Macaca fascicularis: one gene and its partner. The protein of the gene in region 2 binds, or shares a complex with, the protein of the main gene of each other region. Links are inferred from orthologs where the notes say so. Each region holds a gene or a part of one and is shown on either strand. Other genes may lie near its edges.

What was found. The genes of interacting proteins can lie anywhere in the genome.
Region 1: NOD2 (region 2) and MAP2K3 share a complex: the UniProt entries of both Homo sapiens proteins name them as parts of the signaling complex. The link is inferred for Macaca fascicularis from reciprocal best matches to the Homo sapiens genes NOD2 and MAP2K3.

Annotation. Positions count from the first base shown.
Region 1 is NC_088390.1:20,710,047-20,717,590, forward strand, and holds the start of MAP2K3 (dual specificity mitogen-activated protein kinase kinase 3), read left to right. Parts: upstream 1-3,522; 5' UTR 3,523-3,696; coding exon 3,697-3,745; intron 3,746-3,878; exon of another isoform or gene 3,879-4,105; intron 4,106-6,820; exon of another isoform or gene 6,821-7,544. UniProt on the Homo sapiens protein: Dual specificity kinase. Is activated by cytokines and environmental stress in vivo. Catalyzes the concomitant phosphorylation of a threonine and a tyrosine residue in the MAP kinase p38.
Region 2 is NC_088394.1:46,665,236-46,672,679, forward strand, and holds part of NOD2 (nucleotide-binding oligomerization domain-containing protein 2), read left to right. Parts: intron 1-2,303; coding exon 2,304-2,409; intron 2,410-4,999; coding exon 5,000-6,815; intron 6,816-7,444. UniProt on the Homo sapiens protein: Pattern recognition receptor (PRR) that detects bacterial peptidoglycan fragments and other danger signals and plays an important role in gastrointestinal immunity.

The DNA.
Region 1 (7,544 bases), on a different chromosome or scaffold from region 2:
TTTACAGTGTACTAGGCAAAATAGAACATACAGAAAACATTGTCCCTGCTCTTGAGGAGCTTACATTCTAAAAGAAAAAATACAGCTCTTTTAAAATGGCATTTTTGTTTGGTATTTTCTGCAAAGCACCAAGGAAATATTTTGTAAAGTGAGCTTTGGGTATAACTTAGCCCCATCATTATTTAGAGAATAGAGGAAGAAGAAAGAGGAAGGATTTTAAAGGCAGACAATGACAGACCATTCAGGATAGGTAGGGTTTTAAAGGGAGATAAACACAATGTCATCAACTAAGGAGAGATTTGCTGCAGTAAATAGGATGAGGGAAATAGTCTGTGGGGTGCAAGCAAAGGAAGCAGGGTGTCGTAGACATTGAGTGGAGCCAAAAAGATCATGCGGCCTTTTTCCAAGTATGTGGCCACCAAGTACGAATGGTTGGTGACAAGACAAAAGGCTAAAAAAGGAAGGTAATCTCGTGCACCTGACAAATAGAAAGACTAAAGGATCAAAATCGAAAGCAGGCTCTAAGAGTATCAAGAAATTCTTAAAAACCCAAAAGTGATTTGGAAGCACAAAACTTATAGTTAATGCTATTGAGTCAGCCTCTTTCTAGAGCCTTCTGTCACCCCAGGTCCTGTCCACCTCAGATCATGCTTGCATCCTGACTTTGGCCACAATCCTTCCCATCCAGAGACTGAGTTTCCTGCATCCGCAGACAGCGGGTTTGGGACTTTTCTCCTAGGAGTCAAGGTAAGAGGCAGCCTCTTGTGACCCATGTCAAACATTTCTTCTGATTTCTGCATGGTCATGGAGTTCCCCAGCCTTACTGTGCCACTTACAGACAGAAAGAAATCAAGAGATGTCACTATAGCAAGCCGGCAAGAGACCTTTGTCTCTGATGGTCCTTGATCGTACTTCTTGAGCTGCAGCAATGCAGCTGTGCATCCCAGTCTGGCCCCTCACCCTGTCCTCATGTGTGGCCCTTTTTACATCTCCAACCCATTGCCTCTGCTGTTCCTTTCCAGCGATGCTCTTCTTGCCTCTCTGCCTGGCAAGCTCCTACTGGTCCTTAAAGTTCCAGTCTCAAAATCACCTCCTCTGAGAGGCCTTCCCTGACCGCACCCAGATGGAGATGCCTGCATCACCCAGGCACCCTACTGGGACTTTTGCTCATGCATCTATTTATAGCACTCACATGGAGTTTTGTGATTCCTGGGCTGTTTATCGGGCTCCTGACTAATCTACAAACTGCTTGTTTGCAAGGGCCCGTCTGAGTCATCTGGCTGCCAAGGAGGTTGGCACGGGACTGGAGTCGCTTCACCCTGGTCTGTGGATGCTTTCCTCCTTCCTTTTTTCATTCCTCAAATATTTATCAGGCACCTACTATGTACCTGGTTCTGGGCTGTGCATTGGGAACACAGCAGGGAATGAGGCGCAGATGGTCTGGAGGGAGAGCTGTGTTAAAAACTGAGTCAGTGACAAAGGCATCAGCAGCATGAGTGTTGTGCCTCAGTTTGGGGACCTGGGAAGGGAAGGTCCCCAAACTGATGGGAAGGCTTCTTAGGCGTGTTCATTTAGGAGGCAGTCTGAGGGATGAGAGGGAACCAGCCCCAGGAGGCTTGAGTGGAGGAATGTTCTGGGTGGAAGCAGCAAGGGTGAAGCTCCTGCAGCAGGACCATCACTGGCACATTTGAGGGGCAACACTAAGACTCTTGAACATCCCAAGGAGCAGAGTGCACAAGGCAGAGTGTCGGGGAGCAGAAGTCAAGGCTGTTGGCCGGTGCCTGAATCCAGAAAACTTGCTGGACCAGCCTTTCAGTTCTGGTAGAAAGGAAACTGCTACTGGATGCCCATTTTATGGATGGATAAGCGCAGGTCACCAGGGATGATACGGCCAGGATGGAGGCAGCCAACAGTGTTTTTGAACTCACATTTCCCGGGCACTTAGTGAGGGCCAGGCCCTAGGCCAGGTGTTCCCACTCCTGAACTCATGAAATGCTTTCAGAGACCTTCTTGTCCCCATGGGATAGGTAAACTGAGGCACAGAGCTGCTCAGTGACTTCTTTAAGGACATCCAGCTAGTAAGTGGAGGAATTGGTATTGGAACTCACACCTGTCTGAGCCCCAGACTCATGATTTTCCATCCCACTGCCTGTGAACAGGAGACGCAGGAAGAGAATGGTGACGGCTGCAAGGCTTCCCTCCTATCTCATGTGGCCCTCCCCGCTCTGTGTGCATGGGGCCCTGCATCACCCCCACTTTACACCTGGGCAAGCAGAGGTCAGGCCCGGCCTCAAGCGTTTCTAGCAGGTGGTGGAATCTGCTTCCCTCACGTGAGGTCCCCGACAGGGTACACACTCATGTCTGCCTGGAGGCCAGGGGCTGACCCCTTGACCTTTGCCTGGTACCTTCTGCCTTCACTAGCCCTGACTTTACATCCAGAGTCATCTGATCCCAGCGCCAGATTGGTCAGCGGTTCCTGAAATCCCCCAAGGTTCCGTGTGGGAGCAAAGAGAGGACTGGTCCATCCAGCCATTATACAGATGGGCAGACTGAGATCTTAGGAGGAGAGGAGAGAACCAAGGTCCAGGAGAGAGCCAGGATGGGGCCTCCGGGCTCGTGGGATAAAATGCACCGCATGCTGCCTCACTCCCTCTGAGACAGTTTCCCCCGGTGTAGAACAGGGGCAGCAACAACCAGCCACGACAACTCCTCGTGCTGCCTCGTCACCGGGCATCGCTGAGCTCACCACCAACCCCGCGCCCTGGCCGGGCGCCTGGAGCGCGGGCGCGGGCGGACGTTTGCTGGCGCCGGGCCCTCAGTGCGTGTCAGCGGGCAGCGCCGTCAGACGGCTGTCACCGCCGCCCGCTCACAGATGCGTAGACTGAGGCTCAGGTGTCACGACCTGACCAAGGCTAGTTCCGCTACAAAGTTGCCGACTCGCATCTGAACCCGGGTCAAATTTACAGAAAAGGAAACTGAAGCCCAGAGACACCAGGGAGCTTGCTGGGGTGAGGCAGCTGCAGGTTCAGAGAGCCAGGAGGCAGCCCAGCAGCGCACTTTTAACCCCCGCCCGCCTCGCCAGGCCCAGCCGTGCCACCTTTAGGGATCTCGGGTTTTTTCCAGACGACGCACCCGGGAGAACGCGCCCACTCATCGCACCCGCCGGGGCTGCGCGTCTGGGGGTGCTGGGCGGAGCCTGGCGCTTGCAAGGAGCAGCGGGCTCAGTGGGTCCCGGGAGTGGGTGGGGCTTGCGTGTTGACGGGCAGCGCGAGGGGCGCGGCTTTAGTCCAGGTGGGCGGAGCCTGACCGGACTTGGGTTTTTCGGGCGGCTGGCAGACTTGACAGAGAGCGGGAGGGGCCCGGATCCTGGGCCCACGGAGGGTGGGGCGTGTAATTGACAGGCAGGGACAGACCGGCGTCTGATAGGCAGGGGACGGGCCTTGGAAACGAAAGGGCCAATCGGACACGCAGGGGCGGGGCCTGAGTCAGCGCCGTTCGGCCGGGGTCCCCCCGGCGCTGCCCAGTCTGGCTCCGGCGCCGCCCGTCGCGGACTCGTCCCTGCAGTAGTCGCCGCCGCCGCCTCTGCTCCTCCGCCTGGCCCGGGCCGTCTGCCCGCAGCCATGAGCGTGCTCGGCCCCGGTGGAGCCCGCAGTCCTCTAGATTAGTCCCCACCGCCGTCCAGGACCAGCTTGCAGCATGGAGTCGCCCGCCTCAAGCCAGCCCGCCAGCATGCCCCAGTCCAAAGGTAGGCGATCCCGGCCGGAACCTCGGCCTGACCCCGCGCCCAATCTGGGGCCGGGCTGCAAACCCCGACCGAATTTCTTTGGTCCCACCCCATCCTGTTCTCGACCTGGCAGCGGCGTCCGGTCCCGGAACCCCTTCCTGTTCGGGGCCCCGGGACCGGCCGCAGCCTGGGTCCTCACCTGGACCCCCAGGTTAGGCCTTGGGACTGCATTCAGGCCCGAGATCACCCAGGCTGGACCCAGACTAGGACTTTGTTCTGCTCACCCCATCCAAGTCAGGAGCCTCACTCTGACCTCATTTGGGCCTTATGGCTGTAGCCTGGACAGGAACTCTCTCAGTCTTCTCCCTCAGAGGGACCCAGGTGAGATTCACACTGGCCTCCATCTGCGTCCTTGGGCAGCACCCACTCCCATTTCCAACTTGGGGTCCCAGGGCTGTATCCAGGCTGGGATTTAACTTAAGTCTCCATCTGGGCCCCAGAGTGCTTCTGTTGTTTCGGACCTCACTGTACCCGCTATGCGGGTGCTCTGGCTACACCCCAGCTCGGAACTCCCCGTCCTTCTCTCCTCCAGCTCTTCTTATCCTTATAGGCCCTATGTTGCCCCTTCCCTGGCTGGCCTGCACCCTGTCCTGCAGCCCTGTGCTCCCAGGAACCTCCCTTGTCCTCCCACCCCTCCCTAAGGTACAGCCCCCTCTCTACTGGCTTCTCTCTGTCTTGAGTTGCAAGCTTCTCCCTGCACTTGGGGTTCTCACCCCATCTTATTCCTCTCCTGGCTGCCTGGGATCTGGGCCAACCGCCAGGCCAGGGTGCTGGCTGTGCAAGGGATTTGCTCTTCTCCAAGTAGCTGGCCTTCCTGGAAATTTTTGTGAGGTGGCAGCAGCAGCAGGATTTGTCATGCGGAGGGGGAAGGATGAGACTCGGAGGGCAAAAGGGGAATTTTTTTTTCAGGAAGAGGAAAGGATGTTTTTGGTGCGTCGGAGTTTCAGTAGGCTGGGTTGTGTGAGAGATTTCCAAACCGGACGTAGCCGTAATGAATGGGCTGCCTCCTGCCTAGCTGAACCTGCAGCTGCTTCACCCCAGCAAGCTCCCTGGTGTCTCTGGGCCTCAGTTTCCTTTTCTGTAAATTGGAAGTAATCACACCTGCTTCTGTGGACGCGGGAGTGTGGCGTGGGGTGGTGAATACAAAAGAGCTCTGAGGTGTTCACTCAGCATAGCGCCTGGCGGAGAGCCGGTGCTCACCAGGGGACACTGGCTGCACACATCTCGCTATTGTTTCCATTCTTCTTGCTGGAAAGGCCTCCACTGCTGGAACTGCAGCCGCAGAGTGAGCAGGAGGAAGCATCTAGCAGCGGGCACCTAGTGGGCCCCTCATCGGGGATCAGCCGCTCTTCTGCTCTGGAGGGCGCAGGCCAGTGGGAGCCCTGTGGGGGCTTGGGGAGGGCACGGGCTCTTCCTGGCCCCTGCTGCTGGCTGCTGTGGTGGCTGGAGCCGGGTGGGCAGGATAATTATGCCTTACATAAGTGGGAGGCCGGATCCCTGACCATTGCCCAACCACTGTGAGTAACTCAGGAGGCACTTGAGGGGGGAGGTGTCTGGGGAGGGACTTGCACTGCCCAGACCTCGTGGAGCTTGGGAACCAGGAAATCAGACACTTCTCCACTCTGGAGAGCCTGGGGAAGGGTAGGAAGCCCTGTTTGTTTTGGAGGCTTTTTAGCTCTCCAGGCAGAGAATGCCTGATCAAAATAAAAGTTCCAGTTGCAGAGTTGTGAAGGGAGAGGGGTCATAGATGTGGTGAGAACGCTGTGAGAGGGCCAAGATGAACTTCTAGATAGGGACCCAGGTCGCAGATGAAATTGAGGGAGCTGGATGGAGGGTCAGGGACCTCCCTCAGGCCCAGCGACCCTGTAGTCTCTTTGGGATCTGGGGAAGGATGTGGTGACAGAGCCGCAATGCCCTTCACCAAAAACGCTATGAGCTTCTTCTTTTTTTCCATGTGCCATGCATTTTCTCATTTATTCCTCATAGCCCCATTTATAGACAAGGAAACTGAGGCGTTAAGTGCCTTGCCTGAGGCCACGCAGCTGTGACAGGCGGAGCTAGGGTTCCCCCTAGGACTGCATCCCCACAGTGGCCTTCTCCGTGCTCCCTTATGTGCCCCTCCCATGCTGGATGCCTGAGCTGAGCTGGTGGGGTGCCCCCACCCCTGGCCTTGCTCAGAGCATGTGCAGTGGGCCTGTCCTCATGGCCATGTCAGACCTAGAGGACAGACTGAGGCAGAGGTGCTGCTGCTCTTGTGCACAGTGCTTTACACTGGGCCTGTTGCATACTCGCTGCAAAATCCCACTCATTTGACAGATGCAGAACTGAGCTTGGATGGAGTAGCCGAACTGCTCCCACAGGTGGAGATCCTCACCCCGTGCCTGCCCCATCCTGGGCACTGGGCCTCCCAGCACTGAGCCCTTCTCCACCTTCTCAAAGGAATTTGAACAAAGCAGGGAGTGGCTGGCGCTTGACCTTACTGGAGCTTTACCTTTGAGCTTCCTGCCTTGCAGCAGGTACCCTGCCCTATCCTTCCTGCCATGGGCCTGGGGAGTTTTCCGTGAGCGTGTGAGGCCCTCAGGCCCACAGCTCTGTTGGTTTTCCCCTGGCCTTCTTGCCCACATGGCCATCTCTGGCTGGGATCAGAGGCCAAGTGGCCGGCGCTGGGGCCAGTGGGTGGGGGCATGTGTGCAAGCCACATTTGTCCTTGGAGGGTACCATGTGTGTCCTGTTGTCATTCAGAACGTGGGTTCTGCCCCTTCTGCCCTAAGAGTGCCACCTGTGGGGGCACTTCATGGCTAATCTTCACACAGCTTGGACTGTGGCTGTAGGACTCCTGACTGCCCAATGGGGTCACTGAGGTTTCATGGAGCACTGTTGTATCCTAGCCCTGCCTATTGTGGCCATCCCCCATCCCCCGGCTGTCGGAAAGACTGGAGGTGGCACCTCGGGGACTTCCCCCACCCCTCTTGTGACGCACAGGAAACTCTCTGTCAGCCAACCCATGGCCCAGGGCCCAAAGGGAGCAAAGTTCTCAGTTGGCCTGTGTGAGGAGAAGGCCGGGGCAGCGGAGGCTTCCGGCGGTGAGTCAGCGGGCACTGAGTGCTGACTCACCTGCTGGGCATGCCAGCCGGCTGCCTACAGCTTAAAGGGGCGATGCCTGCTGGCCTGGTGGGTGGGGAGGGGGTTACGTGTCCTGCAGGTGGCACCTAGCCCTGAGCTGGAGCACTGGAGGTGGCCCCTTCCTGCGCCTCGGACTAGGCTGGGAACCCCTGGGCAGGCCCTCTGTGCCCCACCCAGGAACTTCCTCTGTTAGGCAAGGGGCTCTGCTTCCTCTTGCTCACAGAGCAGGAGCAGGTGGCGGTGACTGTTTACTACCCTTGGTCCAGGGGACACCTCAGGTTCAGCTGTGCATCTGGGACTCAGGGAGGGCGAGGAGCAGAGGTTGTGCAGGGTCGGCTGGGGTGGGACCCGACCTGAGGTCCTGGAAGATGGTGATGTGGAGAGGCTGAGACCTCAGTTTCCAGAGCCTGACTGCCTGGGTTCATACCCCAGCTCTGTCCCTTTTGCGATGTGACGTGGCACAAGTTGCATCCGGTCCACTCTCTGCACTCCGTAAAAGATTTCTGTCCCCTGGGCATGGCCCAGCTCTCAGAGGAGAAGCCTCCATTTCGTCATCTGCAGACTGGGAACGGGGACCCTGCCTGTCTGGATGTAGACAGTTCCATTCCACACTTGCTAAGTGTCAGGCACGAGTCAT
Region 2 (7,444 bases):
CCACAGACTTTTGCCTGGGGATAAACCAGAAATGTGTTTCAGAAAACACTTTGATTCAGTCCTCCTTGTTTTAGTCATTTCCTCCAGTTCCGGAGGTCCCTCATGCTGATCATTCCAGAGCCCTTTACAGATTCTAGGATACACACTGCATGGTTTTCAACTTTCTCATTTTGACATTAAGATTTGACTTTCAGGAGTCTCCCCAGTCCATTACCATTTGTTCATTCAGCAAGTCCTTGAGCACCCGATTTGTGCCAGACACTCTTCTAGGTGTTGGGGATACCTCAGTGAACAAAATAGACAAAAATCTTTGTCCTGGAAATACGCACACTCCAGTAAGGGGAGAGGGACAATAAGCCAAAGGAAGGAAATTACAGAGTGTGCTAGAAGGTGATAAGTGCTGTAGAAAGTAAGTAAAATGGGTTTGGGAGTTGAGAGTTTGGGAAGGGGATAAATGATGGCAATTTTAAATAGAGTAGTCAGAGTTCTCACTTAGAAGGTGAAATTCGAGTAAAGACTTGAAGGAGGACAGTGAATTAGCCACATGGATGGTTGGAGGAAGGCTTCCAAGCTGAGGGGACAGCCAGAGCCAAGGCCCAGAGGCAGGAGCATGCCTGGTAGTTTTAGGAAACAGGAGGCCAGGATGCTGAGTGGAGTAATAGGGGGCATGAAAGGAGAAACTTGGGTCCACATGGTTCTAGACAGGTATTTTTGTCTGTTTTGGGACCTGAAGTTTACTGTTGGACTTGGACTCTTATTCTGAGGAAATAGGGATGTTATTGGGACGTTTGTACAGGAGCGATGTGACCTGAGTTTTGTTTGTAACGGATTAGACTCTGTCTGTGGCATTAAGGCTAGGCTGTGGGGGCAGGAACAGAAGCAGGGGGACCAATTTTGTGGCCTGTGCAGCTTTCTAGGTGAGCAGGGATTGTGGGTTGGAGGAGGATGGTATAGAGGAGGTGACAGGAAGTGGCAGGGCTCTCTAGCTGTGTGTCTGGTATGTAGACACTGGCCACAGATGGCATTTGAGCACTAGAGACCCGGCTGGTCCACATGGAATTTCCATAAGCACATAATACACACCAGATTTCAAAGACTTAATATGAAAGAAAGAATGAAAAATACCTTGCTATTTCTTTTCTTTTCTTTTCTTTTTTTTTTTTTTTTTGAGACCCAGGCTCGCTCTGTCACCCAGGCTGGAGTGCAGTGGTGTGATCTGGGCTCACTGCAATCTCTGCCTGCCAGGTTCAAGTGATTCTCCTGCCTCAGTCTCCTGAGTACCTGGGACTACAGGCACATGCCACCACACTTGGCTAATTTTTTGTATTTTTAGTGGTGATGGAGTTTCACCACGTTGTCCAGGCTACTCTGGAACTCCTGACCTCAGGGGATCCGCCTGCCTTGGCCTCCCAAAGTGCTGGAATTACAGGCGTGAGCCACCAGGCTCGGCCATATTTTGCTATTTTCTACATGGATTACATGTTGCAATGGTAATGTTTGGACTATTGTGGGTTAAATAGAATATATGATTAAAGTGAATTCATCTATTTCTTTTAACTTTAAAACATATGTCTGTTAGAGGATTTGAAATTCCACATGCGGCTTGCATTTGTGCCCTGCATTTTATTTCTGTTGGACGGTGCTCTTTGGGACGTGCTTTGAAGGTGGAGTCAACAGGATTTGACAGATTACAGAGGAGAGACTTCGAGGGTGATTCCACGACTTCGGGGCTGAGCACCTGGAAGAATGGGGTTAATATTAGCCAAGATGAGGAAGGCTGTTGGTTTGGCAGGTGCGTGGGCAGGTTAGGAGTTTAGTTTTGAATATGTTGGAGGTGTTTATGAAACTTTTAAGTGGAAATGGAAACTAGGCAGTTGGATGCGTAAGTCCAGGGTTCAGGGGGACAGTTCAGGCTGGAGATGAAGATGTGGGAGTCTGAGCAGAGATTGTATTCAAATATTCAATCCATGAGACTTGATGAAATCACTTCTCTTCCAAATGGTGTACAGCCTACAGAATCATTTTCCCTATCTTTGTAGGTTTATGTCTTCATGTTGTTTCATTTATTTTTCAGTTATTCACTGTTTCAGTGAGTTTTGGGTAGGAGCCAGATTGGATGCGTGTGTTCAATTCACCATCCAACACTATTAACGACTTGAAACTTCTGTGGTTGTTCAGTTGCTTTTCTGACCTTTTATTCTGGACAGAAGAGAGATGCTTATGAAGTTGTAGTAATCAGTAAGCCTTCCCACACTGCTCCATCAGCCTTCCTGGAGGAACAATGTCTTCTGTCTTTCCCGTAGGCAAGAAGGCTGCTCGATCTTGCCACAGTGAAAGCGAATGGATTGGCCGCCTTCCTTCTACAACATGTTCAGGAATTACCAGTCCCGTTGGCCCTGCCTTTGGAAGGTAGGTATATGTTCTCAGTTAATCAGAAAGGGAAGGGCAGTCAGTGCAGATCCATGGTTAAGAGTAGAACACACCTCGGTTAGCGTCCCATATGCTGGCAGTGTAGCCTCCATGTGACTCAGTTTCCTTGTTTTAAGGCTACCACCACCCCCTATCTCATTGCAATTTTAGGAGGATTAAAAGGACAAAAGCGTGTGATGTTAGCTATTAGCTTTCATTATCTCCCACACAGTACACTGACAATTGGAGCTACCATATGCTGAAGGCTAACTAAAGGTGTTACTTACCATCCAAACTCTCGTTATCTGTACCAAAAAGATACGGACACGCGTTTTGAGTTAGGGCTGGTACCTCTTGATCTCTGAAATTTAGCAGCTCACAATCGGAAACTCAAGAACCAAGTGGATCTAGAGACTCTGGTATCCCTCAGTGCCCAGGGTCACCACCCAAACTCAGGAACAGGAGGAGCTTGGACAGCACCTCTTGAACATACCAGGCATCCTGCCGGGTGCTTTATGGACAATGTCTACCCTTTGCAACAACCCTGAGAAGTAGGTGGTGGTTTTTTCACCTTATAGATGTGGAAACTGGGCAGGGAGGTTAAGTGACAAGGGAGGGGGAGATGGGTCTGATTGTAAATTGTCCCCACCTACACTTTCTCTTTTCTTGGGAGAAGAAATGTCAGTTGTAAAGAGAGGGTGCAAAAGTCTGGCACTCTTTAGGGCTTGTTCCTATACCACTGTAGGGAAAGCTCATTGGCACTGAAGCTCCCTGAGCTGTGCGTGGTGCTGGCAGTTGGGTCTATCACCCTGGGCCCTGCCCTGTGGGCAGCAAGCAAACCTGTGGGAGGGGTGGCTGTAAGTCTGTGCCTGGCACTCGCGAGTGCACTGTCTCGTCAAAGAACGGGATCTAAACATCAGTGCACCACAGGGGGGTTGAGCAGCATGGAGCGCGGGGCCTGGTTTGGCCCTTGGTTGAGGTTTGCCGTTGATATCATCAAGCACAGCTGGTCACTGTAAGACCAGGCCAGGGTGCAGGATTCCCCACACTTCTAAAGGTGTGTTTATTTCTCTATAAAATGACATTTTCTTTTTTTCCGGAGAATTTTAGTATCATTGGTGATGGCTGGAAAGCCTGCATTGGAAATCAGGTCGGAAGAGGAAGATATATATCTGATATGTATTGGAGAGGAAGATATTTACCTTATGGTCTAAGTTCAGGGATCCTGGTGTATTCAGAGGGCAGAAAGCTCAGCAATAATCATCAACTCTGGGAACAACAGAGGTGACGTAAACACAGGGCGTCCCCTTTGTGTGACTGCAGATAGTCGTCAGTGAGCTCAGAGCTCTCTGAAAATTACTTGTTAGTTTTTGGGTTGAAAATAAGTGGGCCAGTGTTTGGTTGGGGGCAGTGAGGCTGTGATGGCGGGGGACCGTGCTGAGTTCCTACCAGCCGGGGACTCTAAACCAGCACTTCCCCGTTTCCTGAAAGGGGAACTAAACCCTGACACAGGAAATGGCTCGCTCGCATTGCTTTCAGGATGAGAAAGGAAGAGCAGTAGCCTTCCAAACACACCCTGTGCATGAAAACTCTCCCTGCATGGGGTGCATGGGGAGGATGAGGAAGTGGAGGCAGGATCACAGACTCTCATTCTAGTGCTCAGCTGGGGCACCCTGGTGACCCCGAGGCCTTCTATTGCTAGGCCCACCCAGATCAATCAGGCTCATCTCCCCATCTCGAAGTTTAACTTTATCACATCTGCAGAGTTCCTTTTGCCACATAAGGTAACATATTCACAGGTTCTGAGGATCGGGACACGGACATCTTCGAGGGTCTATTGTTGTGCCTACTATAGCCATGAATAATAATGATAATAAGCACCATTTTTTGAGAGTTTGCCATGTCAGATATTCTTTTAAACTCTATTTTATCTCACTGCCTCCTGAAACAATCCTTCCAGGTGTATATTGTCCCCATTTTTACAGATGAGAGAACTGAGGCCCAGAAAGGCTAAATGGCTTGCCCAAGTGTGTGGTGGACGCAGGTTTTCACGCTCCGGTGTGTCAGACTTCAGAGACTGGGCTCCTGAGCCCTGAAGCCCTTTGTTCCCCTTAGAAAAAGTTAACTGAGAGTGAATGGTGAAGGGATTTATCCAAAGCCACCTGGCCATTATGGCAGGACAGATATCAGAATACAGGTCTTCTGATCCCAGCCTAGAGCCCCTTCCCATCATCTACAACTCCTCCTGGTGTGAGTAATGATAACGGCAGTCACTGATGTCTTTGGACTTACTTTGTGTTGAGCACTGTGCTGAGCACTTGACATACGTCATCTTAGTTGATCCGTGTAAAAAGTCTGTAAGGTAGAGATCAACATTTCTCCCACCTTACAGAGGTGGAAACTGACCGTTAGGAAGTTTCCTTGATTGTCCTCAAAGTCCACAGCTTGTGAATGGAGGAGCCAGGATGGGCGCTTGCTGGCTGTCCTATCCCTTCAGTTATGTCAGCTTCCCCCACAGCAGCCCACTGTCTGATTAGGTCCCCTCTTCACCATGGTGCCACCTTCATCTGCCTCTTCTTCTGCCTTCCAGCTGCCACATGCAGGAAGTACATGGCCAAGCTGAGGACCACGGTGTCTGCTCAGGCTCGCTTCCTCAGCACCTATGATGGGGCAGAGACGCTCTGCCTGGAGGACATATACACAGAGAATGGCCTGGAGGTCTGGGCAGACGTGGGCATGGCTGGACCCCCGCAGAAGAGCCCGGCCACCCTGGGCCTGGAGGAGCTCTTCAGCACCCGCAGCCACCTCAACGACGATGCAGACACCGTGTTGGTGGTCGGTGAGGCGGGCAGCGGCAAGAGCACGCTCCTGCAGCGGCTCCACTTGCTGTGGGCTGCAGGGCGAGACTTCCAGGAATTTCTCTTTGTCTTCCCATTCAGCTGCCGGCAGCTGCAGTGCGTGGCCAAACCACTCTCCGTGCGGACACTACTCTTTGAGCACTGCTGTTGGCCTGATGTTGATCAAGAGGACATCTTCCAGTTCCTCCTTGACCACCCTGACCGTGTCCTGTTAACCTTTGATGGCTTTGATGAGTTCAAGTTCAGGTTCACGGATCATGAGCGTCACTGCTCCCCGACCGACCCCACCTCTGTCCAGACCCTGCTCTTCAACCTTCTGCAGGGCAACCTGCTGAAGAATGCCCGAAAGGTGATGACCAGCCGTCCAGCCGCTGTGTCAGCATTCCTCAGGAAGTACATCCGCACCGAGTTCAACCTCAAGGGCTTCTCTGAACAGGGCATCGAGCTGTACTTGAGGAAGCGCCATCGTGAGCCTGGGGTGGCAGACCGCCTCATCCGCCTGCTCCAAGGGACCTCAGCCCTGCACGGTTTGTGCCACCTTCCTGTCTTCTCGTGGATGGTGTCCAAATGCCACCAGGAACTGTTGCTGCAGGAGGGGGTGTCCCCAAAGACCACTACAGATATGTACCTGCTGATCCTGCAGCATTTTCTGCTGCATGCCACCTCCCCAGACTCAGCCTCCCAGGGTCTGGGACCCAGTCTTCTTCGGGGCCGTCTCCCCACCCTTCTGCACCTGGGCAGACTAGCCCTGTGGGGCCTGGGCATGTGCTGCTACGTGTTCTCAGCCCAGCAGCTCCAGGCAGCACAGGTCAGCCCTGATGACATTTCTCTTGGCTTCCTGGTGCGTGCCAAAGGTGTCATGCCAGGGAGTACGGCGCCCCTGGAATTCCTGCACATCACTTTCCAGTGCTTCTTTGCTGCATTCTACCTGGCATTCAGTGCTGATGTGTCACCAGCTTTGCTCAGACACCTCTTCAATTGTGGCAGGCCCGGCAACTCACCGATGGCCAGGCTCCTGCCCACGCTGTGCATCCAGGGCTCAGAGGGAAAGGACGGCAGCGTGGCAGCTTTGCTGCAGAAGGCCGAGCCGCACAACCTTCAGATCACGGCAGCCTTCCTGGCGGGGCTGTTGTCCCGGGAGCACTGGGACCTGCTGGCCGAGTGCCAGGCATCTGAGAAGGCCCTGCTCCGGCGCCAGGCCTGTGCCCGCTGGTGTCTGGCCCGCAGCCTCCGCAAGCACTTCCACTCCATCCCGCCAGCTGCGCCGGGTGAGGCCAAGAGCATGCACGCCATGCCCGGGTTCATCTGGCTTATCCGGAGCCTATACGAGATGCAGGAGGAGCGGCTAGCACGGAAGGCTGCACGTGGCCTGAATGTCGGGCACCTCAAGTTGACATTTTGCAGTGTGGGCCCCGCGGAGTGTGCTGCCCTGGCCTTTGTGCTGCGGCACCTCAGGCAGCCCGTGGCCCTGCAGCTGGACTACAACTCTGTGGGTGACATTGGCGTGGAGCAGCTGCTGCCTTGCCTTGGTGTCTGCAAGGCTCTGTAGTGAGTGTTACTGGGCATTGCTATTCAGGCATGGGGAAGCATCATCAAGGCTAAGCGTGGGAGCACCGAGCTGGGATCTAGAAATCTGGGCCCAGCTTCACCTTTGCCACCCTTCTTTGCACCCCTGTCCAGATCCCTTCCCTTCTGGGTCTTAATTTCAATATGTGGTGATGACAGCCATACTTTATTGACTGGCCTATGTGCTGGGTCTGGTGCTACTCTTTCCGGAATGACCTCATCTAATCTCTACAACTACCCAGGGCTGTAGGCAGGAATGTTATTATCTCCAGTATCCTTGACTTGAGGCTCAGAGGAGTGAAGTAAATTGTCCAGGGTCACACAGGAAATGGCAGAGTTGAGGTTCACAAATCACATCTTTCTGATAACAGGTTTCCTGCCCCCCACCAGTCTCTGGATACACTTCAGAGGCTCCCTGAAAACCTTGAGGTCACATGCAGAAAGTTTTGTGTACTATGTGTCACCAAATCAGAGGTGACTAGTGCCCCATCAGAGACTTTAACATCCCAATCAGATGGGAATGTCAGGGCCCAAGAAATAGAAAGTGGCTGCAGGATTTCAACAGTGGCTATCTTCCATTTGCCTGGCCACTTTCAACAATGGAAGAGGAG